Linked DNA regions of Cricetulus griseus. The protein of the gene in region 2 interacts with the protein of the main gene of each other region in a pairwise test. Links are inferred from orthologs where the notes say so. Each region holds a gene or a part of one and is shown on either strand. Other genes may lie near its edges. The genes, in order: leukocyte receptor cluster member 8 homolog, Atn1 and Siah1.

What was found.
Region 1: the proteins of Atn1 (region 2) and leukocyte receptor cluster member 8 homolog interact in a two-hybrid assay, tested with the Homo sapiens proteins (2 studies listed by BioGRID and IntAct). The link is inferred for Cricetulus griseus from reciprocal best matches to the Homo sapiens genes ATN1 and LENG8.
Region 3: the proteins of Atn1 (region 2) and Siah1 interact in a two-hybrid assay, tested with the Homo sapiens proteins (2 studies listed by BioGRID and IntAct). The link is inferred for Cricetulus griseus from reciprocal best matches to the Homo sapiens genes ATN1 and SIAH1.

The regions. Positions count from the first base shown.
Region 1 is NC_048602.1:22,406,950-22,410,696, forward strand, and holds the start of leukocyte receptor cluster member 8 homolog, read left to right. Parts: upstream 1-1,245; 5' UTR 1,246-1,387; intron 1,388-3,747.
Region 2 is NC_048601.1:21,659,172-21,662,710, forward strand, and holds part of Atn1 (atrophin-1), read left to right. Parts: intron 1-342; coding exon 343-2,333; intron 2,334-2,494; coding exon 2,495-2,717; intron 2,718-2,969; coding exon 2,970-3,539. UniProt on the Homo sapiens protein: Transcriptional corepressor. Recruits NR2E1 to repress transcription. Promotes vascular smooth cell (VSMC) migration and orientation. Corepressor of MTG8 transcriptional repression.
Region 3 is NC_048596.1:162,344,216-162,347,962, forward strand, and holds the start of Siah1 (E3 ubiquitin-protein ligase SIAH1), read right to left. Parts: upstream 2,577-3,747; 5' UTR 1,369-2,576; coding exon 1,170-1,368; intron 1-1,169. UniProt on the Homo sapiens protein: E3 ubiquitin-protein ligase that mediates ubiquitination and subsequent proteasomal degradation of target proteins.

The DNA.
Region 1 (3,747 bases), on a different chromosome or scaffold from region 2:
GAAAAAAGCATTGAAGTCTAAGTGAAATCTGCGGCTTAGTGCAGAGTATTAAAGCAATGTCAGTTTCTTACTTTTAACCAATAAACCGTGGTGAATCCGAGGTGGTAGCAATAGGGGAAACTGGGCACACACTACACCTAACTCCTGTATTATCTCTGCAACTTTTTTCCCCTGTAAACCCAAATTTATTCTAAAATAAAAGTTCATTATTAAAAAAAACACGAAAGAGACACACACAGAGAGAGAGAGAGAGAGAGAGAGAGAGAGAGAGAGAGAGAGAGAGAGATGGGAAGAAACCCTAGCGTGCTAATAGTAACAAAATGATACAAAGCTATTTGTGTTGCATAGTTGCCAAAAGTCGCCAGTACCAACTGGGAGCAGAAGCCGGGCTGTAAGGTACTGTTTCATTGACTGATTTTAACAGGGATCCCCTACTGGGACGGCACAATTCAATCATTGCTGTTGTAAACTGAGAGCTTTAAGGAAAGCCTATTGTGAGCTGGGCGTTGGTGGCGATGCTCGCCTTTAATCCCAGCACTGGGGAGGCAGAGGCAGAGGCAGGGGGATCTCTGTGAGTTCGAGATCAGCCTGGTCTACAGGGCGGGTTCCAGGATAGGCTCCAAAGCTACACAGAGAAACCGTATCTCAAAAACCAAAAAATAAAAAGACAAAAAAAAAAAAAAAAAAATCCTACTGTGAGCCGGCTCTGTAGGCTTCCTCTCCCTACACCTGCGCCCCAGCTACCTTTCCGGCGTCGCAGCCCCGAGGCTCCTCCGGCTCCTCAATGGATGGCTTGTTTCCCGCTTGCTTGGGCTCGCACTCACTGTTGCCCACGCCAGCCAGGTTTACTCACTCAGCAAAGCCTACCGGGTGGGGAAGACTCATCCCCAAGACAGACTCAAAGACTCATCCCACTCCTTTAAACACAGACAGACAGACAGACAAACAAACTAAGCCGTGGCGCTGCACAGCTCACGACTAAAGACTAGGCTCCAAACTAGACCGTCTTAACCGCGAGCGCCCGCGGCGCTTGTCCCCACGGGGCCGCCGTCCACGCCCCGCTTCCGGCTCGCCCACCAAACGCCCACACGCTTGCCCGGGCGTGGGCGGGGCGCGCCGGGCGGAGGGCGGGGTCCCCGAGCGAGCCGTGACACCCCATTGGCTGTGCGCGGCGCCGGGTGAGGGCGGGGGCGGGGGCGGGCGGGCGTCGGGACGGCCGGAGGGCGAGGCGTCGCGGGGCGGGGCGGGGCGTCGCGGTGACGCCATCGCGTCGCGGCCAGGACGTTGCAGCCCCAGCCGAGCCGGCCGGTGACCGAGCGCTTTTCGCGGTTGTCTTGTCGCCGCCTTGGTGGCCGCCGGTGACGAACCCCGGGAGCGAGCGGCCCTGGTGAGTGTGAGGAGCGGCGGGGACGGACGGGCGGGCGGGACGGGCGGGCGCAGGCAACTCCTCCCGGCGCCGCTCCCGGCGAGCCCGGGCCTGCTGGGGGAGCCTAACCGACGCCGCACCCAGCCTCCGCCAAGGGTGTGGCCGCCGCGCATGCGCGCTGTGCGGTGACGGGAGGGGGGGGAGGGGGTTGAGGCGGGGGGGGGTCGGGCGAGGCGCGCGCGCGCGTAACCGGCGGGCCCCTCCCCCTCGCCGCCCCCGCGCGTGCGCACACGCGCCCCTGGGCGGCCCCGCCCCTCCCCATTGACCGGCTGTTACGCGCGCCGCCCCGTTGCCCCGGGCAACCCGGAGCGAGGCCCTCGGGCGGCGTGGTGGTGCGCAGGCGCGGCCGGGCCGGGCTGGTGGATGCTGGCTGCTGCTGGCTGCTGGCTGCTGGCCGCGGACGGGCGGGGACCGGGGCTGGCAGCTTGGGGGGCGTCGCGTGGGTTCAGGGCGGCCTCTGTCTCCTCCACCGGGTGTCGGGGACCCCCGTGCCTGCGGGACAGCCAGGTGCTCCTGAGTCTTTGTAATAAGAGCCCGTGTCGTCCTTGCCCGTCAGACCCCTTGTCCCCCTCCCACCCCAGGCCTCACTCCTGATGCTCTCCCGCCTGCACCCCGAGTTCTGACACCCCCACCCCCGGCTCCACCCAACAGTCATTTGTTTATTTATTTATTTAGAAAGCTCTCTGAGGCCTGTCTATTTATTTATTTATTCAGAAAGCTCTCTGAGGCCTGTCTTATTTATTTATTTAGAAAGCTCTCTGAGGCCTGTCGTATTTATTTATTTATTTAGAAAGCTCTCTGAGGCCTGTCATATTTATTTATTTATTTAGAGAGCTCTCTGAGGCCTGATTGATTGATTGATTGATTTAGAAAGCTCTTTGAGGCCTGTCATATTTATTTATTTATTTTAGAAAGCTCGTTGAGGCCTTTCAGCGCTCCTTAGGCTTCCTGTAAGATACCGGGTTCTTCAATGGACTTATTCTCTGTAAATCCTATCGTTTGGGTCCCCGGAGCCCCCCTCCCCCCAGTCTTTTTCACGTTTCTTTCAGGACTGTCCACCGTCCAGTCCATGTACACACAACACACACACACACACACACACACACACACACACACACACACACACACACACACACACACACACACACACACACACACACGTACATAGTCCTACCCACAGGGGCATCCTGGAAGGAAGGAAGGAAGGAAGAAAGGAAGGGTTATCTGCAGACACCCTCCCCAAGGGGTTGCCTGTTGTTTCTCCCAGAGCAGCTCCTGTGCCTAGGAACAACCCATACTGGGTTTCCTCTCTGTCCTCTGGGGACTCGAATTGCTTGAGGTGCTGACAGCCAGTGCCTCCTTCCCACAGGGAGAGCCTTCCCCACCTCCCCTTTGTGAAGCTCCTCAGTGGGATCCAGAGAGGTCCCTTTCCTTGGGGGAACTTGGCTCTGTTCTCCAGTGTTCTCCTCGAAGTCTCCGCTCCATGCTCCTTAGAAACTTGAGTCTTGCCAGACTTCTGGATAGCTAATACTTTATTGACTGATTATTAAGACTTTACTTGCTGGGATGCCTTCCTCCCACCGCCACCAGCCCAGAATCCCTGTCAAAGCCCAGGTGGTGGTGAGGCAGAGGCAGGCGGATCCATGTCAGTACTCTGGGGATTCTCTTTAGATCCCTGCCCAGGACTGAGGTCTCCCCATCCATCCCCGGGCCTGGGTTCCCCTCATCTGCTCTTCGAATGACAGTTTCACCATCTCCTCTGTCTTTTATTCTGACACCCTGTGTTTTAGGGAATTCAGTGTCTTCATGCTCAAGGCTCTTTGTTCCACTCTTTTGGCTGTTTGTTTTAGAGACAGGATTTCAACACTTGACCAAGCAGGGCCCTCAACTCCCAAAGAGTGCTGGGATTGCAGACATAGGTTACGGTGCTTGAATTCTCTTTCACACTTTGCCAGTGCTTCCTTCTGTGAGATACTCTGTCTTTCCTGCCTGTTCTTTTTATGGGATCCAACATACTCGCTTCTTTGGGTCTTCCTAACTCATCTTTTTTCTTTTCTTTTTGTTTTTTGTTTTGTTTTGTTTTTTTTTTTTTTTTTTTTGTTTTGTTTTTTGTTTTTCAAGGCAGGGTTTCTGTGGCTTTGGAGACTATCCGGGAACTAGTTCTAGTAGACCAGGCTGGTCTCAAACTCACAGAGATCCCTCTGCCTCTGCCTCTGCCTCTGCCTCTGCCTCTGCCTCTGCCTCTGCCTCTGCCTCTGCCTCTGCCTCCCGAGTGCTGGGATTAAAGGCGTGTGCCACCAATGCTGGCCTAACTCATCTTT
Region 2 (3,539 bases):
AAGCAAGGAAGAAAAGAAACCAATCATTTGGGGATAGCTAAAGGAGACCAGAGATGAGAGTAGGGTACACATGAGATGGCAAGAAGGGTCTGCGGCAAGAAGGGACAGTGTTTGAGATGGGCCCTAGAGAAGGACTGGAGTTTGACAAGGAAGGGAATAATCTGAGTATTAGGAAGCAGCTGAGATGTGGGTGAGGGAGATGCTAGATGACAGAAGGTGGCCCTGAGCAAGCATCCCCATCACACAGCAGTGCTGTGAGGAGGAAATGACTGTGGGAGATAGGTTTGGATCCCTGGAAAAAGGGAGAGGAAAAGAGGAAAACTGAGCCCTCTTCCCTGACAGCAGGAGCTCCCTCGACCACAGTCTCCCTCGGATCTGGACAGCTTGGATGGGCGCAGCATTAATGATGATGGCAGCAGTGACCCTAGGGACATAGATCAGGATAACCGAAGCACATCCCCCAGCATCTACAGTCCTGGAAGTGTGGAGAATGACTCCGATTCATCTTCCGGCCTGTCCCAGGGCCCAGCTCGTCCCTACTACCCACCTCCACTCTTTCCTCCTTCCCCTACACCGCCAGACAGCACTCCCCGACAGCCAGAGCCTGGCTTTGAACCCCATCCTTCTGTGACACCTACTGGATATCATGCTCCAATGGAGCCACCGGCATCTCGATTATTCCAGGGGCCACCTCCTGGAGCACCTCCCCCACACCCACAGCTCTACCCTGGGAATGCTGGTGGAGGAGTTTTAACTGGACCCCCTATGGGTCCCAAAGGGGGAGCAGCTGCCTCTTCAGTGGGTGCCCCTAGTGGAGGCAAGCAGCATCCGCCACCCACTACCCCAATTCCAATATCAAGCTCTGGGGCCAGTGGTGTCCCTCCCACAAAAACACCTAATGCTCCAGTGGGTGGGGGGAACTTACCTTCTGCTCCACCCCCGGCCACTTTCCCCCACGTGACACCAAACCTGCCTCCTCCACCCGCCCTGAGACCCCTCAACAATGCCTCAGCCTCTCCTCCTGGCGTGGGGGCTCAGCCAATCCCTGGGCATCTGCCCTCTCCCCATGCCATGGGTCAGGGCATGAGTGGACTTCCTCCTGGCCCAGAGAAGGGTCCAACTCTGGTTCCCTCACCCCACCCTTTGCCCCCCGCTTCTTCTTCCTCTGCCCCTGGACCCCCAATGCGGTACCCATATTCATCCTCCAGTGGCTCTGCAGCAGCTTCTAGTTCCTCCTCCTCGTCTGCCTCCCAGTACCCAGCGTCCCAGGCTCTGCCCGGTTACCCTCATTCCTTCCCTCCACCAACAAGTATGTCTGTCTCTAATCAGCCACCCAAGTATACCCAGCCTTCTCTCCCATCCCAGGCCGTGTGGAGCCAGGGTCCTCCACCACCTCCTCCCTATGGCCGCCTCTTGGCCAACAACAACACCCATCCAGGCCCTTACCCTCCTACTGGGGGCCAATCCACAGGCCACCCACCAGCCCCCACACATCACCATCACCAGCAGCAGCAGCAGCAGCAGCAGCAGCAGCAACAACACCATCATGGAAACTCTGGGCCCCCACCACCTGGAGCGTATCCTCACCCCCTAGAGAGCGGTAGCTCCCATCACGCACACCCTTATAACATGTCACCCTCCCTGGGGTCTTTGAGGCCCTACCCACCAGGGCCAGCGCACCTGCCTCCACCTCATGGCCAGGTGTCCTATAGCCAAGCAGGTCCCAATGGCCCCCCGGTTTCCTCCTCTTCCAACTCTTCTTCGGGCTCTTCCTCTCAAGCCTCCTACTCATGTTCACACCCCTCCTCATCCCAGGGTCCCCAAGGGGCAAACTACCCCTTCCCACCAGTTCCTCCAGTCACCACCTCCTCAGCTACTCTCTCTACTGTCATCGCCACCGTGGCTTCCTCGCCAGCAGGCTACAAGACGGCCTCGCCACCGGGGCCCCCGCAGTACAGCAAGAGAGCCCCATCCCCGGGGTCCTACAAGACCACCACCCCGCCTGGATACAAACCGGGGTCACCGCCCTCCTTCAGAACAGGGACCCCACCTGGCTTTCGGGGCGCCTCTCCGCCAGCCGGCCCTGGGACCTTCAAGCCAGGCTCACCCACCGTGGGGCCAGGGGCCCTGCCACCTGCGGGGCCCTCCACTTTGCCATCCCTGCCTCCACCGCCCGCGGCCCCAGCTCCAGGGCCGCCCCTGACTGCCACGCAGATCAAACAGGAGCCGGCTGAAGACTATGAGACCCCGGAGAGTCCGGTGCCCCCGGCCCGAAGCCCCTCTCCTCCTCCCAAGGTGGTGGACGTGCCCAGCCACGCCAGTCAGTCAGCCCGGTGAGCGGCCGAGGGCTTGGGAGCGGGTGGGCCTGGGAGCGGACGCCGCAGGGCGACAGGCGGGGGCCCCGCGCCCCTCGGTCACCGTGCTGTTAGGATTGGGGACAGCAGCTGGTGGGGGCCGCCTGCGGGGCTGGGGCTCACACCTCCGCGCCCGGCAGGTTCAACAAGCACCTGGACCGCGGCTTCAACTCGTGCGCGCGCAGCGACCTGTACTTCGTGCCGCTGGAGGGCTCCAAGCTGGCCAAGAAGCGCGCCGACCTGGTGGAGAAGGTGCGGCGCGAGGCCGAGCAGCGCGCGCGCGAGGAGAAGGAGCGCGAGCGCGAGCGGGAGCGCGAGAAGGAGCGCGAGCGCGAGAAAGAGCGCGAGCTGGAGCGCAGTGTGGTGAGTGCGTCACAAGGTGCGCCGCGCGCCTCTCCCGGCCCCGGGCTTCGCCGCTCCGGTCGCTTCGCCACCTGGCGGAGGGGAGGAGCCACTGCAGCCCAGAAAGCTCGGGCTTCCAGGCAGGAGGAAAAGAAAGCTGGGAGTGGGGTGAGGCATTTTGGCTTTCCACCGCCGAGCCCCGTGCCGGGCGGCCTGGGGTCGGTGACTTTCCGAAACTGCAGTTCTGACTCCGCTCCCTTCCGTGTTCTGCAGAAGCTGGCCCAGGAGGGCCGTGCGCCGGTGGAGTGCCCATCTCTGGGTCCAGTACCCCATCGGCCTCCCTTTGAGCCTGGCAGCGCCGTGGCTACAGTGCCCCCTTACCTGGGTCCTGACACTCCAGCCCTGCGCACTCTCAGCGAATACGCCCGACCTCACGTCATGTCTCCTGGCAATCGCAACCACCCCTTCTATGTGCCCTTGGGGGCAGTGGACCCGGGGCTTCTGGGTTACAATGTCCCAGCCCTGTACAGCAGCGACCCAGCTGCCCGAGAAAGGGAGCGGGAAGCCCGTGAACGTGACCTCCGTGACCGGCTCAAGCCTGGCTTTGAGGTGAAGCCTAGTGAGCTAGAACCCCTGCATGGGGTCCCCGGGCCAGGCCTGGATCCCTTCCCCCGACACGGGGGCCTGGCTCTACAGCCCGGGCCACCTGGCCTGCATCCTTTCCCTTTTCATCCGAGCCTGGGGCCCCTGGAGCGAGAACGGCTGGCGCTGGCAGCGGGGCCAGCCCTGCGCCCTGACATGTCTTACGCGGAGCGGCTGGCAGCCGAAAGGCAGCATGCAGAA
Region 3 (3,747 bases), on a different chromosome or scaffold from region 2:
CAGTGACAGTCAAGCACAATAAGCTCCTTTCCCCAGGACTCTGCCTCTGGGGAATTTGGCAGGGTGCAATTTATCTCAGACGTTGACAAAAGATCAATGTCCTAATAGTGCACTCCCTGAGACCACACTAAATAATATAGTAATTCTCCCAGTTATAATCACTCTGTTGCAAAGACCTTTAAGTTTCAAAAAAACTGAAGTTACAAATGTAACCAAGTCAATACAAATGGAATTTTAGTAGACAGTAACATTGTAAATAAGGGGGCTAAGAGCAGCACTGGAGGTTTAATTTTTTTTCTTTTGTTACTAAAGCAATACTAGCAAGTTCAAAGGGCAAAACAGTACTAACAAATGTTTAGCTTGCCTATATCCCTTGGTTTCATCTCCAACACATACAGTATGACAAAACTCCACCACAACAGCTCAGACTCATGGAGGAATACAACATGAATTAGCTCTCATCATCTGAAGCCCTGTGATCCAGGTGTCATAATAAAATGGCCCCTCTGTATTCTACTTTCCACCTGATCAAATTCTTTATGCAGCTGATTTATCCACTTTAGGTCAATGGCCTTGGCATTACCAAAGCCATGGGTTTCCCATCTGCTTCACCATGTTAACTGTGGCTCACTTAAAAGAACACAGATTTTGGAAAGTGATTTCTCGAAACAAACAGTTCCGGTCACATCAAAGAGCTCAGTTTATATTTAAACACAATATAGCCAAGTTCAGAAGAAAAACACTAGCCCAGTGCTTTGACCTGGCAAAACACCTCTAACACTTATCAGTGTAAGTTTGGGTTCATGTTACATCGTATTTTTATTGCCTTCCAAACACTAGAGAAAGCACACTGATATTCTACCCAGCATGATAAACAAAATGTGGTTGGAAGTATGACAGCACAGATAACTGCTACACCATTCCCTAGTTAGAAGGATGGAGTGTGGCTCCATCTTGAGCCACAAAGCCTCTCATCCACAAGCAGCTGCAAGGTAGAAACCAAGGACAAGTCCACAGAAGTCTGGACACACCTGAAAAGCTAGATTTAAGCAGGAGTTGCCACAGCTCCACTGAGCCCTCAATGCCGACTTTCACCAAGCCTAAACCAGAATCTATGGATTCGTGCAGTCCAGTTTCTGTCTCGGAAACAGATGTGTTTACGTCAGTACCTTTCCTCTTCCTGGTCCTGGTCCTAACTGTCGGCAAGCATGCGAGCAGGACTCCCTTCCAGGAATGCAGAAGGGGTTCGGGCGGCTTCCAGGTCATAAGAATCGAGGCGTCAGGTTCCTGCAAGCCACAAGGCCAGCCTGCACCAGAGGACCCTGCAAGGCCCTTGGCTCCTAAGCATAGAAGGCTGCTCACTTCCATTCAGTCTTAAGACCTGTCCCCAGGAGAGACAACACCTCCCATGAACTCTAAACTGGGTGGTCAGCAGAAGATGGCCAGCAGCTCTGGCGTCCTGCTGCTTAGGCTCCACCACCTGGCAGGCCCTGGGGCAGGGCCTCGAGAAGGGGCGGACCTCGCTCCAAGCCCCGCCCCACAGACCACCTGGACAGCTCTGGCAGACGCCACGGCAACATGAAGCCTGTGCACTTGGCAGCACTTAAGTCCCGTAGAACATGTTTCCGGAGGTCAGGATCTCAGTGCTTTCCTAAGTCTCTAGGGTAAGAAACACACAGGGAGGAAGGGAAATGCGCAACCAGGCAAGCACTCCTAATGTCAGCTTTGTCCTGTGAATTCTCAAGAAAAACATTCCCCCCCACAACTCACTCAATATTTCCAGGCCTCAACTACTATTTTCCTCAATTCTAACTCTGCCGCTTGTGTGCCAATCTATTTCAAATGCCCCCTTCCAGTGCAGTGAGAATGTAAACACACTCAGGGCATGTAAACCTCCACTTCTACCTCCAAATTGAGGTTATATATTCATCCCACTCTGGGAAAGTTTTCTTAACTGGCCTCATTAAACTAGAGTAGCTTGCCTTGTTTTTAAACAAGCACTACCCTTGGCCCATAAAGTCCTATACACTTCAGACCTGGATGGTGTCAGCTGAATCTTCAAAGCTTAAGCTGGTATTACATCACACTTAGGACAATCTTCAAATACAACCAGAAACTGGCAGTGAGTGCCCCAATACAATGGGTTTCACACACCTTCTGCAACTTCAACTCCAACCACTTGCCCACCTTTATTGTATTCAATCACTTCCACCTAACTGTTTAATACTAGACTACAACAAACAGCTTTAAGAACAGAAATATAAACTACACATTCTAAATTGCACATCAAGCCTATTTTGGCATTAAGTTTAAATAGCTATTATCTAAAAGGAAATAAATAGTATTAATGCCTTTAATTTTGTCACAACATTTTTAGGGCATTTAGCCACATTTTGTTGTTGTTCTTTTGGGAGAATTTTTGTTTGTGGAGGCAGGACTCACTCAATCATCCTAGACTACCACTGATTTCTAAGAGTCTGAAAATGACTTTGAACTTCTGATAATCCAGCTTTCACCAACTTCCAGTGAGTACTGGGACTGCTCACCACCACACCTAGTTTTGTGTGGTGCCACACCTTTGGAAAAACTAAGCAAGCACTCCACCAACTGAGCTATGTCCCCAGCTCATATACATTTGTTAATGTGCATGGGTGTTTTGCCTGCATGTGTATATATACACCACCTGCATGCATGATGCCAGCAGAGGCCAGTAGAGGGCATAGGATATCCTGGAACTGGAGTTTGGACAGTTATGAGCCATTATTTAGGTACTGAAAAACATCCAAAAGAGTAGCAAGTGCTCTTATCTGTTGAGCCATCTCTCTAAGTCTTGCACTCTTTATTTAAAGAAAATAAAAAGGTAGAATACCAAGACTGCTCACCCCTTAATTTCCCTAAAATTCTTAGAAATTACATGTTTATTATAAAGTTACAATGCTAAGGGTTATAGATGAGTGATGTGAGGTCTAAACCCCGAAGACACGTAGTTAACTGAGGTGCTTATTTAACATACAAATTGGACTTGGCTGCCAGGTTTTCCCTGCATCCCTCAGTCCCTACCTGTTACAGGGTATGGCTGGCACACCCCACCTCCTACCCTACATTTCTCCAGCCCAGGGGCTGAGCTGCCCTTCCCTATATAATCCAGCCTTTTTGGTTACATGCACACCCTCACTGTCTATCCTGTACTCTCCTGGCTCTCCTCCCCCCCTTTCCTCTCTCCTAACATGACCTGGCTCAGGGTCATGTTCACTCTGGACTCTCCTAGATATCCCTGCCTCTGGCTATGCTCTCCCTTTTATCTATAATAAACCTCCCCTCCACCATACCTAGGAGCAGTCATATCCTTCCTTTTTAATTTCATTTTTTTTTCATTCATCCGGTACCCACAGCCGGGAATGGCATAGATGAGCTCCCTTCCAAGTACCTGGGCTGCTCTGAATCAAGCTGCTGATTTGCCTCTCCTAAGGTTTGTAGAGATCACTTGTTTCCAATAACTCCTGTCATCTATCAAATTTGACCCCAAATTCTAGAGTCCGCTGTCTCACTACTTCTCCCCCAACGCCCACATGCTCTAACCACGCCTGTCCTTGTCTATGCCATGAATGTATCTCTGACTCCTAGGGCCTTCTCCATCTCCCAAGGAACCCAGCCACCTGGACACTGGCCTCACATCGCAGCTCCACCGGCTACATCTGTCTGGATCTCTACCAAGGACACTTACCGTCTCCCTTTTCCCCTGCTCGC